3 linked regions of the Cricetulus griseus genome follow. The protein of the gene in region 3 interacts with the protein of the main gene of each other region in a pairwise test. Links are inferred from orthologs where the notes say so. Each region holds a gene or a part of one and is shown on either strand. Other genes may lie near its edges.

Region 1 (4,213 bases), on a different chromosome or scaffold from region 3:
AATTTGGTGATCATACCTTCTAAATGTACTTTACACGACAAAATGAAAGATGATTTTGATATTTAAATGGGAAATAAATGTCAGGCATGCTGGTGCATACCTGCTATTCTATGACTCAGGGAGGAGTTGAGAGTTAAGAGGACAAACTAGGCTACACACAGCTATGACCTTGTCTCAACCTCCCACCAAGCAAAAAGAAAAAAAATATTTTTTTCAAAGTGGGAGTGTTCAGTTCTCCTTTTAGGTTTATTAAGTCTTCTTAAAAAAAAAAAAAGGAAAGAAAAATTCCTCTTTTATCATTTGGTTTTGCAGTCCTGTGCAGTGTGCCCAGTGCAGTAGGGCTGTGCAGTGCCTACTTATACCCCCAACCACTAGCTCCTAAAATCCAAAGTAAATCTTTTTTTAAAAGAAAGATTTACTTATTTTTATGTGTGTTGGTGTTTTGCTTGCATGTATGTCTGTGTGAGGGTGTAAGGTCCCCTGGAAATGGAGTTACAGACTCTTGTGAGCCACCATGTGGTTGCTGGGAATTGAACTCAGAACCTCTGGAAGAGTAGCCAGTGCTCTTAACCCCAGAACCATCTCTCCATCCCCCAAAGTAAATCTTAATTGATGATAATATTCCTAAATATAGTGGCTTCAGGGGTCTATCTTCACTATGCAACATGCCAACAGATTTTCTGTGTGTCAAACCATCTGAAAACACTGAAAATGTTCCTCAGTGAGCCCATGGGTGGGGTTAATGTGATGAATGTCTTGGTTGTTGCTGCCAGTCTCTGGAGTAAAGGATTACAGATGCCCAGGGCCATCATTATTCAGCCGAGACAGCAAGACTACTAAGATAAACTCAGTCCATGGAAAATCTCATGTGTGGGGTGGGGGGGGAGGGGGTCTCTCAATAGACACCTCTTCCCAGAGCACTCCTGACACACACACCACTTCTCCCAGCTGACAAAGCTAATGGAATGGGCACTAAATTTTCATTTATAACATCCTCCAGCAAAAGACCGGTAGGTTACTCCTTTCGGTACTCAGGGAACAAAAGGTGAAAAGGTAGAGCAAAGACGGATAGAGAGATTAATAAGGATTAATAAAAGGGGAGAACATCACATACTACATTCTGTTCACAGTTCAAGTTTTTCAGCAAACAGAATTAACAGCATAGGAACAAACATCATCAACAAGGCACTCCGACACGCATTTAGCCAAACATTAATGATGGCAAATAGCCAAATGCCCTCAGAACTAAGTTAACAGTCAGGATTATGAGAAAAAAATACGCTTGCTGTGACAGTTGAAATCATTCTCAACCCTTACTCACTTCAGAAGAAAAGGTAGCAATTGCATGTTATCAAAAAATTCTCCTGAGCAAACAGAAATAACAGACTCCAGTTAGAGACAGAGCCCACTCTCTGCTGAAGCAGGCACTCTCTCTCTCTCTGCATGCCACACTGCTGCGTTTGGAATGGGAACCCAATCACAGTGGGACTGCAACGGCTTTTAAAACCACAAGAGACACAGGCTTACAGGTTTACACTAGACCCAAAAGTTTATTTTTACAGGACTATTATTTGGGAGGAACCTTCCTTAGTTAAATTAGCCAAGGCTCAATGGTGATGGCCACAGCTGGAGACACAACCCACAGTTCCAAGTCAGCAGGTATTTCTGGGGACACCTTCATATATTCCCCGGGGAGGTGTTACTGGGTTGGCACAGCAGTGGTAATACTGTCTGAAATGTAGAGTTTAAAACCTGGCAACACTGAGTGTCACAGTGGATCTGCCAGCAAAACCACAACTTAAACTGTCTCTAGAGCAGAACTGAGAAGTGACCAGAGAGCTGTGAGCAGTGACCACATCTGCAGAGGAAAAAACATGCCAGCTACTACACCACTCTGAACGGCACTGGGCAGCTGCTTCCTGCCAGTCAGTGGTCATTCTCAGGGTAGAGGATGTCTACTGCAAAGCCCACCCCAGCACAGCAGTGGGGTACAGACTGGCCTCACACAGTGCTGTCAGGCTCTGAGTGTCCCAACTACTGGGCTGAGTCATGGAGAGCATGCTAAGCCCGGTTCTCACCATCATACCACCCCCAGGATATGTGGTTCTGCTGTGCAGCTGCATGTCCTTCCTTCAGAGAGACAGAGCACCTTAGCTGGAAAAATGCTGCTTCCAGGCAGCTTTCCCTTTGGACCTGCTCTTCTCTGGGACTGAGGGTGGGCAGAAGTAACTGGTGACTCACAGAGAACAATGCCAAGGGAGGAATCATTGGTGTACCTGTGGCCCCAGCCCCCCAGCCCCATGGAAGATGGTGTGGAGAATAGAAAGAACCCCAGTGGGGGTTTGGTTCATACTAGCACCAGTCGTGTTCCAGTCTTCAGAGACTAAGATCATGTGGACTGCCTTCCCTCCAATGCAGGAGCAGCAACTGTGTTTGAAGGGAGCTTTATGAACTGTTATCCCAGTGACCAGGTATCTGAGTCAATCAAAAAGGTTTTCTTGAGCTTTATTGTAAGAATCATAACTTCACATGAAGCCACACAGCATTATGAGACAAGCACCTAGAGGCATATTTCTGGAATAAAAATGATGGTCCCATGATGATAATGAGGAATTAAAACTCTAGATAGGTGGCTGTAAGGAAAATGTCCACAGTAAATATTGATGGCTATTATACAAAAACCCATCACTGCCAACAGCCCACATCTTAGGAAACATCAAACTGGTCTTACTTATCAAATATACAAAAGCACTAATATTTTAATGGGACATGAACTACTTGGGCACTATGTAATAGGCCTAGATCTTACTCATATTTTCTTCATCTTCTATATCCATGGTAAAATGCTTTTGAGGGTTTCTTGACTGACGGAGACCACTTCTGTCTGAAAGACAGCAAAAAACAATATTTAGTGTGTGATCCTGGCAAAATGAGGTATGTCCTCTTTGTGTACTGTTCACCACAGCACAGCAATGAAAAAGAAACAAATATCATGAAAAGTAATGGGCTTATCATTTGGGAAGGAATATTTTCAGTCTCTTTCATCTCCTCTCAGCACTCTCCAGGGCACCTGACTTAGCAGCCTTATGTGGAGGGACAGTGGAGGCAAGGAAGGTGTCTCCACAAAGGAAGCTAGGGCAGTATGCAGGAACTTCATGCTCTACTCCAGGGAGTAAAGGGTCACTAAGGGTTCCAGACCAGGGACAAGGTGGTAATTCTAACCCATAATGGCCTGCTGTCAACAACTATGTCATAGCAGTTCACAGAATTACAATAAGCTGTTTGCCTTCTACTTTCTCTCTGCCCTTGTAGGTCTATGAATGGTAATAAAGTGATGTCACATTAACAAGACACAACAATTTTTTTTAAGTTTTTTGGAGACAGGGTTTCTCTGGGTAGCCCTGGCTGTCCTAGAACTTGCTCTGTAGACAAGGCTGGCCTCAAACTAACAGAGATCCATTTTGTTTCTGCCTCCCAAGTGCTGGGATTAAAGGTGTGCACCACCACTGCCCAGATGACACCCCAAGTGTTTCACCTACACTTCCATGAACCCCAACAGCATTCACAGGAGAACAAAATGTGTATAGTAGCTTAAATCTAATGCAATTTAAACTAACACAATTCCTTCACCACACACAACTATTAGCAGGAGAAACCAAGAAAAGACCTAAAGAAAAATTTCAACTGCCCAATCACTAACAAATCTAAGGTTTTCCTCTTCCCAAATATTTCTGATAAATTGCAATTAAGAGAAAAAGATTTGTAAAATTTGAAGTCTTTGTATTCCTTTGTATACAGATTTGTTTTATCAATATCAATAAAGTAAATTCCTTGCTTTTAGGAAAATTTTGATTAAATATGCTAGGTAGTATATATATTTCACATAGCACTTACATGATGGAGTTTCTACATAGAATCTTTTATTAAAGGTTTTCAAGGGTTTGGAGAGATGATTCAATGGTTATAATAAGCACTGGAGGATCTTCAGAGGGCCCAGGTTTGATTCCCTGTACCCACAAGGAAGCTCAAAACTGACTGTAACTTCAGTCCCTGGGGATATGAGACCCTTTGTGGTCTCCATGCACATGGTGCCACAGACATACAGACATGCAGGCCAAATACACACACATATGAAGTAAAAATAAAATAAAAATAATCTTAAAATAAATCTATAAAGGCATTATCACTTTATATTAATCCATTATTTTAAGAT
Region 2 (3,650 bases), on a different chromosome or scaffold from region 3:
TCCAGAATAGCATCACTGTGCACTTTCAGGCTGTTCCTCATCCAGTTCTGTAGATATAAAGAGAAAGCCGTTGTCGCCTCTGACAGGTCACTGATGGGCCACACCTCAATTTGGGAACAGCATTTAAATCCATACCTGAAATTTTGCCTTTTTTCTGGGAACATTGTCAAAAGCACTGATTTGCTGCAAAAGTTCTCCAACCTTAGGGCTGACATTGGGTTTCTTTATTAATTCATTAATTTTCTATTTAAAAAAAGAAGAAGAAAATGAACTGACATATTGGCTTGGCCAAAGGGCTCTCACCTTCAAAGCCAAGATTCTATATTTACATCTATGCATAATGACAAATACTCTCCTATTCCACACAGCACTGATGCCCTGGCCAAAGCCTTCCTAACAGAAGGAACAAAATCAGGTCAAATATTCACAGGCAGCATTTGAAGGAATATGGTCTTGCTTGCAGAAAGCTCTAGAGGGGGCAACCAGTTAGAATTAACAACTCATTCAGCAGAGCTGCAGAATACACAATTCTTAAAAAGCAAGCTGCATTTTTACACACCAACAAAAACAATTCAAATGTGAACACTGGGAGAATTTCATTTGCAATACAATATTAAGATGTCAACCTGAAAGCCATAGCAAAGTCCAGTTGTACATGTCAACTAATTCACATGGAACCCTGAGGCACTCCAAACACAATAGCAATCTTGAAATAAGTTGTTTTTTTGTTTTGTTTTGTTTTTTAATTGGAAACTTACTACAAAGCTACAATGATCCAAAGAGTGTGGTACTACTGCCACAAAGACCACTGGAAAATGCAGGAACAAGCCCCTGAGGATATGGTTAAAGGGTTTTTGACAAGGATATCAAGCCTAGTCCAGCTTGAAATGGACTCCTTTTCAACAAATGGTACCAGGAATAGTGGATCCTAACATGGAAATTAAATTGGACCTCATGTTACATAAAAAATAGCCCCAAATGTATCAAAGAACTTCAAAATATCTAATCTGGTAATGATTTCTTACACATGACACCAGATAGACAATATTGAGGGCCAGCAGGATGGCTCAATGGGGTGCTGTGAAAGGTGTTTTTGTGGAGGTTAGAGGACAACTTGTATCAATCACTTCTCTGGTAGTAGGTGAGTCCTTGAGGACTAAACTCAAGTTCTCAGACTTGGTGGCCAGCACCTGCATCCTAGCTGAGCCACCCTGCCAGCACTATCACATCTTAAAGATTTCAGCAGCTTCTCAACTGGGTAGCCACTGTTAAGTCCTTCATGAGGGTCGTGCCAGGATTATGCACCGTCAAGAGAGCCAACACCCCAAGTTTACACTCACACTCTGGCACTCAATGGGGGAACTAATTTGATTTTCAAGAAAATGCAGTCTCCACAAAGGTGCTATGTTATCTGTACAGCAATCTCCCCTTCTTTCAAAATGGAGCTCACTGCTTTTGTAAATATTTTCATTGTATTTAACTAGAAAATTCCTTACATTTCTGAAACTTTTAACTTTGTTCAGATGTGTTCAGATGGTTTAAACTCTATGGTTCAGTTTCATTTTACAGCCAAAAGAAAGTTAGCAGGAACCCACGAATATGCTGAGCACAATTTATAAAACACAGAAGCCAAAGATAAACAAACCACAATTTTATCTTTCTCAAGATGTTCTCACACTTGTGCTCCACCCCAAGGTATGCTGTCTCTGGGACTTGTCTGCACAGGTGGCACTTATAGAAGTGTGGGATGAGTGACAGGCTGGACAGAAACACTTACCTGAATCCATGCCTGCTGCTTTGCATCACCTTTATGTGTCTTGGCTTCATAGTCTTTGCCTCCATACTTCTGATTTTCACTGATGCACTTCACGTGGCTTTTATAGTCATCACCCCTGCAGAGGGAACCACGTCTTATCACTAGACTGACAACGTGCTAATGGCTCTCAAAGAGTACACTGCTTACTCTTTGTGATTTTCCATACTTGGCCAACTGCACAAACAGCCTAATTATTCTGCTTTTTTGTTGATTTCTTCAGAGCAATGAGATCTGACAGAACCACAACAAAGTGCCACCTCCCCGCCCTGTAACGCCCAGAAAGTCCCTTATTCTGAGTGCTCACTTCCTTGCATTGGATAATAAAGGAAGCAAAATTCTAGCCAGGGTTCTGAATGATTAAATTTTCTCTAAAAACTTTTTTGGGGGGGTGGTGGTGCTGGGAATTGAACCTAGGGCCTCATGCATACCAGACAAGAGCTCTGCCACTAAACTATAAACTATATGTTCCTGAAACTGTGTGTGTACTAAGTTACTAGCCCCAAATTCTCTAACCAACAGGATCCTGTCCCTTTGGTCTTCAATTTAACAAGTCCTTAAAATGAAATGGCACTCCCTGGAGAATCACACCAAGTTTAGTCAACAGACACTAAGGTTTCTTTTTTGTTCTCTGTCCTCAGTTTGCTCCTCTATCTTCCCAAGCTTTGTGGGGTCTGGACTTCTATACCTGGATCTAAGTATCAGAACTTACCAGAAATCTTTCCCACAGTCAATGCAAGAAAGACATTCACAGTTTCTGCAGACAGATACGTGCTTTTCCACCTGTATTTTCTTCACTGATTCACCACATGCATTGCATGTAAAAAATACCATTTTTGGTTAAATGACTAAATATTCTACCTGAGACAGGTTTGAACTCTTGCCCTAAAAACAAAACAAGATAAAGATATTATAATAAGCAGAAACTTCTTCCAATACATGAATTCCACAATAAAAGAGCATTATCAGAAGAACCAGCTGAGTGCTCAGCACAAGCCAGGAATTATACTCAGGAGCTAATGTATTGAGCCCTTGCAATGAGCTTACTGGGGAAGGATGTCATGGGTCAAGGTTTCTAAGAGGCCACAGTGGCATAAACTTGCCCAGGAGAGCATAAAAAGCTTTAAGCCTGGCAGATTAGCAGCATAGATAAAGCTTTCACTAATGATTTCAAGCACTCCCCCTTATATAAAATGTACAAAATCAAAGTGTTAACAAGCACCACAGTGCAGGTGTGCAGTGCATACTGTAACTGTGACTACAACACCAACAAAGCAAAGGGGCAAGCAGCAGAGTTTAGCAAGTGGAGAAGCTAAAGAACAATTCCACTGAAGACTAAAAATGATTCCTACATGCTCAATGATGGAATTACAAATGTTAACATGAAGACATCCCCTTGGCCTCAGTGGACAGGGACAAATGAACTCATTCTATTAGGGTCTGTGTACATCAGGCAGGAAGAAAGAAAAGGAACCAATTATGGTCACCCCCAAACCCAGATGTGCCAGCCTCCTTATGTGCACCCAGTATGGAGGGCATCTACACACACATAGCCAGTTCACATTGCATGCATGCTACTGTACTCTGCAAACAGATCCCTAAAGTGTTACAATTGCCACAGTAACTTTCCATGCTTACATAGCCTTTTATAATCACTGGTCTTTAAAAGAGCAGTGATGTTCTTACTAAAATGGGCTTTGTTCAGCCCAAATACCGAGAGCTGCCTAGTCCAGCACCCATTTCCTCAGTATGAAATGAAGGTTAGGACCAAGACACACAGGACTTGCTTCTCTGCTTCCTGTGAGAACTCCTTACCACTGAGATTTTACAGTAAATT
Region 3 (3,650 bases):
CATTCCTCCAACATCTGACCTACTTCTACTTCTTGGCTCTTGGGACTAGTAAACTATGAACATGTCATTACTGGTATTTGAATACTAGTTTCAATTCCCAGGAGTGAAGTTTCTTGGTCACATGAGTTGCTGATAATCTTTTTATTGGGCAGTTGCACCATTTTATACCTGAACACCAATGTATGAGGTTCCAAACTGGAATCTCACAGACATTTGCTATTTCCCATTTTTCTGACTGGGTTTGAAGGGGTACTTTTCTGTGACTTTAATTTGTATTCTTCTTTGAAATAATGAGGTTGAACACTATTGCAGATGCTTTGCTTGTTGTCTCTTCTCTTCTCTTCTCTTCTCTTCTCTTCTCTTCTCTTCTCTTCTCTTCTCTCCTCATCCCTTCCCCCTCTCCCTCCGTCCCTCCCTCCTCCTCTCTCATCTCACTCTGTAGCTCTGATGGGTGTACAATTCACTATAATGCCAGGTTGGTCTCAAACTTGTGTTGATCCTCCTGTCTCAGCCCCCTAAGTGCTGGCCATCATCCCAGCTCATTTGCCTGTTTCCATGGACAGCACTGCACTGGAGATGGTCAAACGCCAGTTCCAGATGCTCTAGGACTATTTCATTTTTAAGTTAGTGAGAAGGATGTCAAAGGCATCATCAGCTCATAATAAAAAAACATCCTTGCAGGTGTCCTTCTTATCCCACATTCTGTTTTTCCTCTTAGTCCTGGTCACGACAGCTCAGTCCTCCATGTATTCCAGGCCTTTAGCAAACTGAGGACACTGATAAATACTTCTGGAATGGTCTCTCATCAGCTGTCCTCCAGACCACCTATCTGCATTTGCTCCCCAGGTGCTGCAGCATCTACTGTTTATCCAGACTCTGCATTTGACTCATGGCTGCAGAGACTACTGCAGGTTCTTTCCACCCCTAGGCTCTACTTTTCCAGTGCTGGAAGCTTAGACAGTCCAGGTCTTTACATCTCACTCAACAGGGATAGCACATTGTTCTGATGTTAAAATCAAGACACTAAACATGCATGTACATGTGTGCATGTACACACGTGTACACACACACACACACACACACACACACACACACACACACATTAAACAGGTATATAAATTGAATTAAATGAAAATCTACAGAGATGGGACATAGTAGTGACATTTGTTCCCACAATCCCAACACTTGGGAGGTGGATGAAAGACCAGGTAGGTATTCAATGTCAGCCTGAGATACAAGGGATCCTGTCTCAAAACCAACCAACAATAAAACAAAAGGGAATGAGATGAAACATGTCAGGATAAACAAGAATCCATACCTATATCCAAATAGGTTATGCTAAAACCTTGCTCCTTGGCAATCTCACTAAGCAGTTGGATATAGTCTGTGTTCGGGAGACTGAGGAGGCTTCTTTTCAGTAAGTTGATCTTTTCACCAGGGGAATTCCTCAACGAATGCCAAGTACATCCTAGGGAATGTCCAACCACATTTGTCTAAAAAGCAGAGATGAAGGAAAATTTAGTTTCCTAACTGGACCTGTTCCAATATCAGTACCAGTGTAACTGAAAGCACTGGTGAGGAGCTGGAGAGATAGCTCAAGGCTTAGGAGCACTGGCTGCTTTTCCAGAGGACCCAGGTTTGTTTCTTTCCAGAATTAGGCCTAGGAGAGACACTGCCAACAGAAATGCTTTTATTTTGATAAGTTCTTGCAGCTTGGGCCAGAAAGTTGGCTCAGCTGAGTTTGATCACTCAGACCCATAGGGCAAAAGAAGAGAACCTACTCCTTCAGCAAACCACCCTCCAACCTCTATGCAATGCACCTTGCCCCCACCACACATTCAAACAAATGTAAGAAATACTATTCTATATACCCACCAACTGAAGGTGCTTGTACTTTCACGCTCTCACTAATATCAGTTAGTTACTAAACACTATAGCTGCCACTAACTTAAAAGATAAAAATAGCTTATTTTGCATGAATAAACTGAATATTTTTTCTTTTCTTTCTTTTGTAATTTCCTACTGGCCTTTTTTTTTTTTTAAATTGATTTGCTTGGACTTTACATGAATGAACACTGACTTCTTTTTTTGTTTTAGTTATATTGCTTTTAATTATAGAATTTTGGTTGTATCACAGTAGGTTCTAGTCAAATTCGTTTGCTTTCAGATTCTAGATTTTAAGTTATAGTTAAAAAGATGCCCCACACCCAAGATTTTTTGAAAAGATCTTCCATGTTTTCTAGTACTTACAGTTTTATTTATGCTTAATCTTTGACCTATCTCAGATTTATTTTGGTATGGGGATGAGCAATCTATATCCATGACGACACACATCCAAACACACTATCTGGTCCCCTCATACAGGGCTGTTAGTGGTCCACACCACAGCCGAACCATCCCTTTTCTTACTGATCTGAAATCACTGTTACCATCACTAGGTGACAGTATATTTGCACCTACTCCTGAATTCTGTTCTGCTCTCCCACCAGGAACCTATGTCATTACAGTTTCATAGTTTGCATTACTCTCTGAGAGGGCACGCACCCTGGGCCACTTCAAATTCTTGCTTTTTAGGGTTCTTAGTTGTGCTCAAGGATCTGTTTTTTGTTTTTTTTCCAGATAAGCTTAGTAAAGTCCTACTGAGGTCCAAATTGAATTTTGGTATATTTAGAGTAACACAACTTGCATTTTTATGTATTTACTATACCAAGTCTCTATGTGAAAAGAAGAAATAATGCCACATTAATTTAACTTCTGTTATATTTTTCAGTAGGGTTTTCAAGGGCTCCTGTGTGAATGCTTGCACACTTCTATTCAAGTTTATTAGAAACATATCACTCCATTTTTAATATTGAAAATGGATTTTTTTATACTGTAGCTATTGGCTTTATAAATAAGAAAATAATTGACTTTTTTCTAGTATACCTTTTTTCAGAATAGATTTTCTCTTTTTCCAGAAAATATCTTTTTTTTATTTTTAAAATTTGTTTTATGGTGTGTATGTGTGGTATGGTATATGTGTACATTTAGTATATTCAAGAACGTGATTACACATGTGTCAACACTGGGCATCTTCCTCAATCACTCTCTACCTTACTGTTTGAGTCTCTCTCCCTGAGCCTGAAGCTCACAGATTCAACTAGCCTGTCTGACAAGCAAGCCCCAGGGGTCCTCTTGTCTCGGTCTTCCCAGCACTGGGATTACCAGCCTTTGTGCCTGGCTTTTTATGAGAGCTAGATTTCTGAATTTAGGTACTTATGCTTGCATACCAAGCACTTCACCAACTGAGCTGTCTCACAAGCTCTCAGGTTTTTATTAGTCTATGTACATCTACACATACACAAAAAATTCTAAAGTACACAAGTGCCTTACCCTCTTCTTACCTTCAATCTCTTTTCTCATAGCAATAATTTAACCTTCTCTTTTTAACTACTCTAGTTGTTATTTTTGTAAGACTAGAAGATGTGAAAACTACTGGGTTTGGACATTAATTTAACGACACATTCTGTTATTGTTTCTAATAGGTGTTTTGTTTTTGAGACAGGGTCTCATGTAGCTCAGGGATGCCTTGAACTTGCTATGCAACCAAAGGCAGCTCCTCTTGCATCCACCTCCAAAATGTGCCACTGTACCCAGCCTTCCAGGGGTTT

What was found.
Region 1: the proteins of Prkra (region 3) and Adarb1 interact in binary tests that used the Homo sapiens proteins (3 or more experiments, as listed by UniProt). The link is inferred for Cricetulus griseus from reciprocal best matches to the Homo sapiens genes PRKRA and ADARB1.
Region 2: the proteins of Prkra (region 3) and Lyar interact in binary tests that used the Homo sapiens proteins (3 or more experiments, as listed by UniProt). The two-hybrid records come from large-scale screens. The link is inferred for Cricetulus griseus from reciprocal best matches to the Homo sapiens genes PRKRA and LYAR.

What each region holds. Positions count from the first base shown.
Region 1 is NW_023276806.1:261,477,111-261,481,323, reverse strand, and holds the start of Adarb1 (double-stranded RNA-specific editase 1), read right to left. Parts: upstream 2,885-4,213; 5' UTR 2,838-2,884; coding exon of another isoform or gene 2,810-2,837; intron 2,575-2,809; 5' UTR 2,394-2,574; coding exon 2,354-2,393; intron 1-2,353. UniProt on the Homo sapiens protein: Catalyzes the hydrolytic deamination of adenosine to inosine in double-stranded RNA (dsRNA) referred to as A-to-I RNA editing.
Region 2 is NW_023276807.1:107,176,498-107,180,147, reverse strand, and holds part of Lyar (cell growth-regulating nucleolar protein), read right to left. Parts: intron 2,699-3,650; 5' UTR 2,648-2,698; coding exon 2,526-2,647; intron 1,893-2,525; coding exon 1,778-1,892; intron 244-1,777; coding exon 136-243; intron 48-135; coding exon 1-47. UniProt on the Homo sapiens protein: Plays a role in the maintenance of the appropriate processing of 47S/45S pre-rRNA to 32S/30S pre-rRNAs and their subsequent processing to produce 18S and 28S rRNAs. Also acts at the level of transcription regulation.
Region 3 is NC_048599.1:98,416,958-98,420,607, reverse strand, and holds part of Prkra (interferon-inducible double-stranded RNA-dependent protein kinase activator A), read right to left. Parts: intron 1,494-3,650; coding exon 1,319-1,493; intron 1-1,318. UniProt on the Homo sapiens protein: Activates EIF2AK2/PKR in the absence of double-stranded RNA (dsRNA), leading to phosphorylation of EIF2S1/EFI2-alpha and inhibition of translation and induction of apoptosis.